3 linked regions of the Macaca fascicularis genome follow. The protein of the gene in region 2 purifies or fractionates together with the protein of the main gene of each other region. This does not show direct contact. Links are inferred from orthologs where the notes say so. Each region holds a gene or a part of one and is shown on either strand. Other genes may lie near its edges.

Region 1 (4,179 bases), on a different chromosome or scaffold from region 2:
GCACTCATCGTTGTGCTGCTTAGTGACCTTCACCAGTCGCTTAGTGAATTTTTCCACCTCCTGCTCGGCCCCAGCAGCCTGAGCCTGCTGCAGCTGCTTCTCTGCCTCAGCCCGCCGCTCACTGCGTTTCGCCAGCTCACCTGACTTGAGCTGTGGCGGCTTGCCATCAAAGACATACACGGGCTTGATGCCATTCTCCATCATGCGAATGGTGCGGTAGAACATGCCCATCAGGTGGCTGGTGGTCTCACCCTCCTCGTTCTGCAGCACATCCCCACCCTGACGAACAGCAATCAGGAACTGATAAATGCTCATAGAGGCATCAATGGCCACCTTACGGCCAAAGTAGCTCTTGATGTCATTCTCCCGGATGGCACTGGGGGCCACATCAGCAATTAGTTTGGCCAGGCCTTGAATTCCCATGGCAACACAGAGGAGGAATGACTAAAAAAGAAAGGCAAGTCAGAGACGGAGGAAAGGAGAAGGGTTATAATTGGTGTTATCTCACCAACTTCATGCCTTCAACTAAATTCCACACAACAAAAAGGACAAGTCAGCACTGCTAAAGACGAACAAGACAAAGTCCTCATTCTCAAAAAACTCAGTCTAGCAGAATTTACTCAATAGTAAGGCTTAATGAGTACCAGAAATAGAACCAGGTGCTTAGAGAAATAAGATATTGTTGATATTCTAAGGTAGCAGCATTATTTATTATACAAAAAAACCCTACAACATGGGTCTCTATCAAGGACCACAGAAGGCCAGGGTGCCCAGCCCAGCTTGAGGAGTCCAGGGACCATAATGGCAGACCTGAAAGGCAAATACCAGCTAAACAAATAGATCTGATTTGTTTTGAGTCTCTGGAGAACCCTGACTGATAAGGCAGTCTTGAAAAAGGATTGCAAACATATCTGAATGGAGGTGATGTGGCTTTCTCACAAGCTTCTCTAAACTCTCTTCATCATCGCCTCAGCACATAAGAGTTTCTACTTTTATTATGATGTTACTAGAGTTTCAAGTCTTTCCCTTTGCGTTTTCCCTCCACTACTCAGTCTGAAATGTTAACTCCATGGCTCCTCCCCAGGTCCTGATTTAGGGGTCTGGCATGCTATAGTCACTGGGCTCAAAAAAGTATTGCACTTCAGAGTTCAGTGTTTCCCAGATAGCAGTGTTTCCCAAATCACCCTCACGATTTTTGCCACTTCCAACTAAAACCTGTACTTTCATTCACTTAGAATTTTTTTTTAAAAACTAAACTGGAAAACTCATAAGCAATAATATTTGTGTTCTATTAGTTATATTTTAATATGTGTTAAATATATAACTATTAAAAAGGATTTTTAGGAGGTGCAATTTAAAATCATCTTGCCATCCTGGGCAACACGGTGAAACCCCCTCTCTACTAAAAATACAAAAAAAAAAAAAAATTAGCTGGGTGTTGTGGCGCACACCTGTAATCCCAGCTACTAGGGAGGCTGAAGCAGGAGAATCACTTGAACCCAGGGGGCACAGACTGCAGTGAGCCGAGATTGTGCCACTGCACTCCAGCCTAGTGACATAGTGAGACTCCGTCTCAAAAAATAAAAACTCATCCTGTACCCACTGGCGGTATGTGTCCAATACTCCAAGAAATATTCTACCAGGGCCAGGCAAAGAGGCGCTGGCCAGTAATCCCAGTACTTTGGGAGGCCATCATGGGAGAATCACATAAGCCTAGGAGTAACAAGCTGCAGTGAGCTATGATTGTGCCACCACACTCCAGCCTGGGCAACAGAGCAAGACCTTGTCAAGAAAAGAAGAAAAGACAAATCAAAACAAAAGAGAAAGAAGAAATGGAAGACTCCACCAGGACTTTTCATTGTTCCCATTCTTCCTTCACAGGGTTCTTTCTAGAGCATCAATGACTGTTCAATTCTTCCTTCTAATTCAGTCCAAACACTTCAGCATGGCGTCACGATCTTTCATGTTCTGGTTCCCAACCTAACCTTACATTCTGGGATCTCAACAGAAAGCTGGAATAAGGCCCGCCTTTTTCAACTTTTCCTTAGCTGTGCCCTCCTCTCGCCATCCTCTCACGCGTCCTTCCAGGTCCATCCCTGGATTATTAATCAATTAATAATTAATTGATAATGAATTATTCATTTGATTAATATGAATAATTCCCCTGTGAATTGCAACGGCGAAAGCTCTGGCCTTGAATCCAGGCGCGGCATTTTCCATCCGTGTGACATTACCAAGCCACTGAGGTTTATGAAGAACGATTACCATGATTGTCTCTCAGGGCTGCTACCAGGGTTAACTGAGACAACAGACGGAAACCCCTAATGTCCCCTCTCCAGGCCTGTTCAACCCTTCGGCTCTTGCGTCAAGCCGGCGGCCCTGCTGGAATGTTGACTGAGGACCAGGCCGTGTAGCCCTTGATCCCCTTGCGGCGTCCCACAGACAGGCAGGCAGGCAGGATAGGGGCTAAACAACTCAAGTGTCAGAACTCTTTCTCGTCCAAGGTCTTAGGAAAAATACAACACGACCCCATAAGGTGGAACTTATTACCGCCTTTCTACAATGGAGGAAAGAGAGGCTCGGAGCTTACGCGACTGGCCCACGGCTCACAGGGGGAAAAGTGGCCGGACCGCTTGACTGCATATCACGCGCACTCCACACCCCGGCTCCCCACGGCCCCAGCGCCAAGCGGACCCCGTCGCCCCCGGAGGCGCTTCCCATGGGGTCTCACCTGGCCTTTGAGACACGAGGCCTCGGCAGCTAAAGCTTTGTTCGGGGTTGGCCCGGGCAGGCGGTTCCTAAACCTGATCTCCCTCCTCAGCTTAGCGGCGGGTCGCCTGACGCTCAACCGCCTTCCAAAGCCCGCGCTCCCATCACGTGACCTGCCCGCCACGCACAGCCTCTTGGGGAGTGTAGTGCAGGCTGCGTCCCCTCAGACGGCTACTCTCATGGCAACCAGTCCCTCCAGGGAGAACAGAGTCTCTCAGCGACCGTGGCGTACTCTTCTCCACCGCTTGTCCCTACTCCACCCACACCAAGTCCCCGCAGGCCCCTGCTCCCGCTACACCCGAAATCGCAGGACTACAAGTCCCCCAATGCCACTTGCGCCGGAGGCACTTCCTTTTCCGGTTGTGCTAGGCGCCTGCTCCTGCGGACGTGTGCTTCCGGTGGCAGAGCGGCGGATTAGCCTGCGCGGGGCAAAATGGTGAGAGGGTTAAGGGGAGTTCCCGACGGAGATGCGAGGACCCCTCGGGGTCTGACCCACACCGCGCTTCTCTCCTCAGACGCCAGAGATCCAGAGGGCTAGACGCTCCTGGAAACTCCGTCTTGGGCTGAAGGGTGGGGAAGGGGGAAACCCCTTGTCATGAACTCCTTAGGAGTTCATGGTTTCTTAGGTTTCTGAGCTCGCGATTTGTAAGAATGAGAGGCGTGGGGCGTATTTTGAATACCTTCCAGTTTGTATCTGTTATCTGTGGTGTGTTATCTTTATCTGGAAAGTTCTTCTGCCGAACCCGTGCCCATGCTACAATGCCCTGGGCAAATGTTGTTTCTTGGTGAGGCACTTCCAACTCTGAGGCACTTGGCCAGACTCTCCTAGGAGCGCCCACAGCCTCTGTACACGTTCCATGGACTCCTTTGTTTGCGGCCGCGCCTCCTAGTGACCACCGTCTGACGCGCATCTAGCTCTGGGATGATGTCTATTCATCTTTGTGTTCCCAGTGCCAAACAGAGGGGCTGTAATTGGAAGCTCAATAAATGGCAGTGATTGTCTTTATCATTTTGGGGGAAGGGGGCCGTGATTGTTTACTGAATTGAATTCCAGTGTCTCAGAACAATGGGGGCAGTTTACTTCTCTAGAGTTGTTATGTTCTGGATTTTAGAAGCGTTGGCTGACGGGTGACAATGAAGTTAACATTTGTACAGATCTTTACGTTTACAGCCCTCTTTCATAGGCGTTATGTCATCATGTTCCCTACAACCTTAGGAAGGAAGCAAATACCTATGGAGCAAAATCCTCCCTGCCAGGCACTAGAGTTTTGATTCATCATCTTTCTTATACATCAGTCCTGTGAAATAGATAATACAATCACTTTACTCAGACTCAGATTACTCAGTAGAACCAGAACTTGAATGCCTTCCCTGTAGATCACAAGATTCCGTAATAGTATAGGTAGTGAG
Region 2 (3,564 bases):
ACAAGTTAGGGAAGAGAAGCAATTAAAACATTTCACAATGTTAAAGATATTAAAGACATGTCCAAAGTATTCTTTTGGCCAGTTCAAATTTAAAATCCCTCAAAGCCCTGTAAATTAAAAAAAGATGAATGTAAATACTTTTACAAATATGAAAGAACTATAAACATACTTGCAATTAACATTGTGAAATGTTAGAACCCATGACTGTGGCCACCGAAAAATGAATTGGCATTAGCTTTCTGAACAAATGTTTATATTCCAAATAACTTCCTGTATTTTTCTGACCACTGTATATAACACTTTTATGTCTTTATACTGATAATAGTTTACCTGGCATAGGACTTGATCCAAAAATAGACAAACAGTCTAAAAGGACAGTTAAATTAATTCGAAAAGTAACAGACTCTTCCTGAACTTTAAATTCCTGAAATATTCCAGCCTACGGAAAAAGTAAAAATGAAAATTGTTATGTAAAAGAATGAAAATATACAAGGTCCTAGATTTCACTTTATATGTTTAAAAAATACAATACTGTGCTAATCCCATGAGAATAATTTCTGATTAGCAATCAAAACATCTTAGAGACATCCTTTGAAGCATCCTTATATCCATTCCTGGATCTAAAAACTATCCCTCTGGGACTCTCCCTTATCTCGTTTTTGTGCGTATCACTACTGCTAAGGTCACTTGGAAAACAGACGGATGACTTGATAATGCATGAGCAATATTAGTTACAACTTTTATTATTATTTTTTATTGATTCGGGGGTCTCACTACGGTTACTCAGGCTGGTCTTTAATGCCTGAGTTCAAGCGATCTTCGTGCCTCAGCCTCAGTCTCCTGAGCAGCTGGAAATACAGGTGTGAGCCACTATACCATGTTGCCGCACGAGGACGAGAACCATGTCTTATTTACCTCTCTATCCCTGAGGTCATGCTGTGCACTTACGTGTTAAAAAAAATGCTTAGTTGAATTTGCAATCCTATCTGAACCACACAAATATTACTTTGGAAGAACAAAAATTCTATTACAACCAGTAAAGGGAAAAAAATACTCTTTAGTAACAGCAAGGTGGTAGTATCGCAGTGGTAAAAAGAGCAGATATTCTGGAAACAAATGTTCAGGGTTCTTATCCCAATTCAGCCACTTACCAGCTGTGGGACTGTTGGCAAATCACTTAAAATTGTGCCTCGTTTCCACATATATAAAACGGGAATAACAATAGAACCTGCCTTATAGGACTATTGTTAAAATTAAATAAGTTAAACACTAAGAAGACTGTAGCCTAGCCGATAGTCTAGTTTAATAAACTTTAGTCATTACTAACCATTATCTCTGTAAAACAAGATGGGAAAAGAATTTGTTACCGGGAGAGAAAAAAAAAATTCAAGTAATGACGTTTGTTCTCTAACGTAAGACTATTAAGTTATTTATCTATTATTTATTATGACTATTGACTATTAAGTTATTATGAGTATTAAGTTATTTATTATGTCTACTAAAACCTTCGGATTTCATTAAATTGCATTTAGAATATCTATGGCACAGGCTTAAAGGCGCCTACTTCCATACCTGAATAAAAGCATTTGCTTGCACACACTTTGCATTTTCCACTGTTACTTTGATACCATTTTTAGTTGCGAAACACGTGGCATGCTCTCGGAAATGAATAGCTTTCAAAATAGTGGAGAGATTCCTAACGTTGTCAAGGCTGGCCACAAGGCTGTACTGATCATCCTCATCTTGGATCTGCTGGGTCAGAAGGGGCATAGTCCACTGCGCATTCGGCCCGGAGGGAAATGCTCCTGGGGCCAACACCTGCTCGGCGAATCGCGAAACACCTGAAGGGACTGGACAATAAAACTCACATCAGTGCAGGCGAGGTCCGGCGAGCTCCACCTGCGCTGAGAGGTGGACGGGGGCTGGGCGGCTGAACTCAGCTGACCAGGCCGAACCCCACCTATGTCACTTAATTGTCTTTGTAATTTTGCGGGAAAATTAAGTTACTATTTCCTCGTCTCTGTAAGAGGACAATAACGTGAAAAGTTGTGAAGAATGAAGACACGCAACTGACACGGTATCTCCGCTTGGGGCCAGCTTCTCCCGGCCAAACAAACAGGAGCTATGAATCCGACCGCGGCACCAGCCTCGCTTCCAAGAGAACAGGCGATGGGGGGAGCGCCCAGAGTGTCCAGAAGATCCCCCAAGAGTCCCACACAAGCCCATTCACCAGCCCGCCCGCGGGACAGCATCGCTTATTAGTCTCGGGGTCCCCGAGTGCGGACACCCTACCTTTGCGGTGGGGTCTGGACGCCCGAGAGACCTTCCCAGGAAAGTCCCTGAGGAGGAGCTAGACAGCTCTGAGAAATCGCGTAGGAAGTGGAGCCGGTCCCGCCACTCTTCAGACCTGCCCTCCACTTCCGCCACCGTCACCACAGAGCTGAAGGAGGCCTAGAGAGCCGCGCGTGCAGCGCCACTGAGACCGGAAGGAGACACCGCAGACCTGGAGGACAACCGCGTAGCTGAGCGCTTAGAGCCACCGAACCATAGAGATCGGAAAGAGGAGCGAGAGGCAACGCCGGAAAACAGGCCAAGAGCGCAGGCAGTAAGGCAAGATGGCGGCAACCAAGAGGAAACGGCGTGGAGGCTTGGCAGTGCAGGCGAAGAAGCCAAAAAGAAACGAAAAAGATGCCGCGCCGCCAACTAAGCGGCACACCACCGCAGAGGAGGTGGAGGAAGAAGAGAGGGACCGGATCCCAGGCCCCGTTTGCAAGGTAGAAGGGGATGCCCCCGGGCTACACCGGCGGCGGCGGCTCTGTGCCCCTTTTCTTGGGTTACTTACTTGACTACAGCTCTGCTAATTTCAGAGTAGCCAGAGTGTTAACGGTAGGTCGATTTTAGCAATCCTCCCAGCCAGACTGGGCACCGAGTTTTCAGCTAATCCTTGTGCACGTGTCCGCCCTCCTGGAGGCGGCGGGTTTTAAAATCTTTACCCGGCCCACGGGAAAGCGACTTACAGGGTGCTCAGATCTAGCGTTTTGTCTTCGTAGTTGTTGAGTTGTTTTGTTTTGTTTTGTTTTTTAAATATTTTTGAAAAGTAGGGCTTTTCCTTGGCTATTTCTCGCTGTTGAGTATTTCTTCCAGTGATTAGTATGCCCATATACTGCCATAGTCAGCCACTCTCAGTCAGGGATCCTACAGTTTGTTAGGTGAGCCTTTAAAAAGTTGTTGCCCTTAGGACTGTGACTCTGATTTGTTAACCAGTTTTCAACTCAAGGGATAATGAAAAATAGGCTAGGTACTATGAGCTTTACTTGTATTCAACAGACATTGAATGTGCCATGCATTTTACCAAGTTAGGCATCCTTTGGGTTTGAGATTGCAAAGGTGACTAGCATGTGACCCCTTCCTCCTGAAATGTTGGAGTTTAGGAGGAAACTTAAGAATTCAAATAAGTTGATGGTTTTTATTCAAAAGAAGTGCACGTTAGTTGGAATTAGCTAGATTTCCTTCAACTGAGAACTCATCTTAAGCTAGACAGAATACTGTGAAGGCAAGGATTAT
Region 3 (3,132 bases), on a different chromosome or scaffold from region 2:
ATGACTTGCTGAGGGCTCAGATGATGAGTAGCATTTTTTACCAATGAAGTATTTTAAAATTAAGATGTGTACTTTTTTAGACATAGTACTATTGTACTCTCAACAGACTACAGTGTAATGCAAACATAAGGTTTATATGTACTGAAAATCCAAAAACTCATCTGTCTTTATTGCAATATTTGCTTTTTGCAGTGGTGTGGAACCAAACTTGGAATATCTCTGAGATATGCCTATATTTCCTTGATTCCTAATGTGAGTATGATACATGTGAAAAATTGTGAAAAATGAATCTAATAAATAAGCAATTCAAACTATGTAGATAATAAATCTCAAAACCATGTATACTGATACATTCTTTGATATATCCTATGACAAAACACAGCTTAACAAAGAATATGTAATGCGCACACACGCTAAATACCTTTCATCTTGCAGATATATTCAGCTCTCTACATAAGAAATACCCTCGGAAAACATTTATGCATATTTTAAAATGAGAACTTTCCTGCTTTACACAGCAGCATTTTATAATAAAATACTGATGCAATTGTTTCAGGATTCAAAAATATTTATTTCATTACAACCCTGTTTTTCCCCCCGAAAAAAAGTTGAAGAATAATTTACTTGTTAGAATCTTAAGCAGGAAAAAAAACCTGACAAACCCAACAAACAAAAACATAAACTACCCAACTGTTTTATCAATGCTTTAATACAAATTTTGCAAAGGAGGAAGGGCTCCACAAAATATACGCCCTGTATAAGTCAGAGAAGGTGCAAACTTTCAACCCAATTAACTCAGGGTCTGTTTCAGTTTTGAAAAGATCATAAGCTTAAAAAAAACAAATCTACGCTGGCTGAATTTTTACAAAGCAGGAATGAAATACTGGAGAGAGACATCTCCTTGAACCAAAACAAGCTGAAGAAGACTATTGTCCCAAATATTGCATAAGGCCATCGTGGGATTTATTTGCTGTCCCTCCAAAAACTGCAGGAGCTTCCGATTATCTACCCGCACTTGCACCACGCTCTCCAGGTCTCTGTGTGGAGGCACACCAGCCGACTCCGGAGGGTTTCCAAGATTTTTAAAGTAACTTTTAATGGACACCACCTCCGTCTCCATACTCAGGGTCATCCTGCCCCTGAGGTTTGCTTCCACCAGCACGTGATCGCCCACGTTCGCCATCCTCTCCACGATGCTCCTCAGCGTCCTCCAGCGCGGCAGGTGGATGCTCGCGTCGGCGGCGCGCAGGCTGGGCGGCGGGCAGTCTCGCCACGCTCTCCGGGGAAGCACCTGCACGGGCAGATCGTGCACCACGCTGCGAGCGCGGCCCAGGGGCGAGGCCAGCGCCACCGCCACCGTGAGGCAGGGGCGGCGCCTGTGGGTCAGCTGCAGCTTCAGGGAGGACGCGCCCGCCGCGCTTCTCGCCGCCCTGGACAGGTGCTCCGCCGTCAGCTCCAGGTGGATCTCATCGAGCTCTTCCGAGACACCTTCCATGTGAAACTGCTGGAAGGCTCCCCGCCGCACCTCGCACCACAGCCCGGCCTCGCACCACAGCCCGGCCTCACGGAGGCCGCGGAAGCCCGCGGGGCCGAAGCACAGGCTGTCAGGGCGCACGCGGAGCACGCAGACCTTCGCCAGCCTGGCGACGGTGCCGCTGACGTGGATGAACAGCTCTAGACGGCCCTTGCCGGTGATCTTGGCGCGAAACTTCATGACGCCACAGCGAAGGCAACTCGGGGCCTCTGAGGGGAATGCCGCGTGCCACAAGTCCTTCCGGTCCGCTGGGGTCCCCGGCGCTGCCCTCCCCGCCCTCCCTCCGGGCCCCAGCAGGGCAGGCACTCGGGTTCCGGGCTCTGTTCTGGCTTCCGCAGCCCCAGGCCTGGAGCCGACGCCGGGCGGGCGCGCCAACGCCGTTCTCACCTGCCCGCCAGCCCTCTCACAAAACGCTTCCGTTTCCGCTCCGGTTATGAGAAGAGCAGGCATTCCACTGCTGACACTCCTCAGTATTCTCGCCACTATGAAGACAAAGTCATCACTCAGATAAATTAACCACTTTTAATCTCTATGGCATACACACTGATACCATCTTCATCAATCGTACATGAAGATATAGTTCCACGGGTCGTACGAAATAATAGCATACTAGGCACACATTTTACAACCTCATCTTCACACATTAAATATGTAACAGGCATCTCTCCATGTTGGTGAAACAAATCTACATCATTTTCATGGCTGCTCAGTTTTCCAATGTATAGAGTTAGAATACAAGTGGCATTGAGATGATTTCCAATTTTTTGCTATTATGAACACAATGAATATTTTTGTACAAAATAGTTTTGCCCATTTACTCAAGTATTTCCTTGCGTTAAATTCCGAAGTGAAGTGCTGGTCAATGAATGCACTTTTAAAATCCTAATAAATATTTTCAAACTGGTCTGCAGAAAGCTGCGTGAACACTCTAGCCCACCAGCAACACTGGATATTAGCAATCTGTTTCATCTGTGGCACTCTGGCAGGCAAAAAAAAAAAAAAAATTCAACTTGCACTGTGTGTGAATTCCATTTTATGGCCTTCGCATCTTTTTATTGAGTTTATTTTTCTTGATTTCAAGATATCTAGAAAGAACATTAACCCTCTGTCCATTACATGTACTGTAAATATCTTCCCCAGTTTATCATGTGACTTTTCACACTGTTTTTGGTACTCTTTGCTCTTGGGAAATATTGAATCTTTTTTTATGTCAAACCTATTGACCTCTTCTCTACTACTTCTAGGGTCATGCTTTCAAAGTCCTGTTTCTGGTACTTTAATGTTATCTGTTTTTATGACTTAGTTGTTTGACTCAGTTGAAATCTTGCAGTACCGAATACCTAGCTGATACACACAATTCACTAAACAATCCACTTCTCCACTAATCTGAAATGTCAATTTTATTTTAGACAAAAAATTCTCATTTTTGTCTCAATGTTTCCTGGCCCTCTCTATATTTTCTCCCACTGCCCTATCTTGCACCTGTACCAGTGATTTAATTTCCATATTATATTTCAATATCGAATAGGACAATCTTTCAGAACTTCTCTCATTCTCTCACAGATATTGCTCCAGAGGAACTCTAAAATATTTTGTCA

The links. Proteins that work in one complex are often made in the same cells at the same time.
Region 1: the proteins of RAD1 (region 2) and FEN1 purify together in Homo sapiens (affinity purification with western blotting; 3 studies listed by BioGRID). This does not show direct contact. The link is inferred for Macaca fascicularis from reciprocal best matches to the Homo sapiens genes RAD1 and FEN1.
Region 3: the proteins of RAD1 (region 2) and HUS1B purify together in Homo sapiens (co-immunoprecipitation; 3 studies listed by BioGRID and IntAct, counting the BioPlex papers as one, with this or other methods). This does not show direct contact. The link is inferred for Macaca fascicularis from reciprocal best matches to the Homo sapiens genes RAD1 and HUS1B.

What each region holds. Positions count from the first base shown.
Region 1 is NC_088388.1:12,241,585-12,245,763, forward strand, and holds the start of FEN1 (flap endonuclease 1), read right to left. Parts: upstream 2,851-4,179; 5' UTR 2,732-2,850; intron 445-2,731; 5' UTR 424-444; coding exon 1-423. Other genes in the region: dolichyl-diphosphooligosaccharide--protein glycosyltransferase subunit TMEM258, read left to right, coding at 3,203-3,205. UniProt on the Homo sapiens protein: Structure-specific nuclease with 5'-flap endonuclease and 5'-3' exonuclease activities involved in DNA replication and repair.
Region 2 is NC_088380.1:35,205,573-35,209,136, forward strand, and holds part of RAD1 (cell cycle checkpoint protein RAD1), read right to left. Parts: intron 2,775-3,564; coding exon of another isoform or gene 2,616-2,774; exon of another isoform or gene 2,588-2,615; intron 2,410-2,587; exon of another isoform or gene 2,293-2,409; intron 1,851-2,292; 5' UTR 1,771-1,850; coding exon 1,573-1,770; intron 440-1,572; coding exon 331-439; intron 1-330. Other genes in the region: BRIX1 (ribosome biogenesis protein BRX1 homolog), read left to right, coding at 2,616-2,774. UniProt on the Homo sapiens protein: Component of the 9-1-1 cell-cycle checkpoint response complex that plays a major role in DNA repair. The 9-1-1 complex is recruited to DNA lesion upon damage by the RAD17-replication factor C (RFC) clamp loader complex.
Region 3 is NC_088378.1:172,426,081-172,429,212, reverse strand, and holds HUS1B (checkpoint protein HUS1B), read right to left. Parts: upstream 1,915-3,132; 5' UTR 1,715-1,914; coding exon 863-1,714; 3' UTR 551-862; downstream 1-550.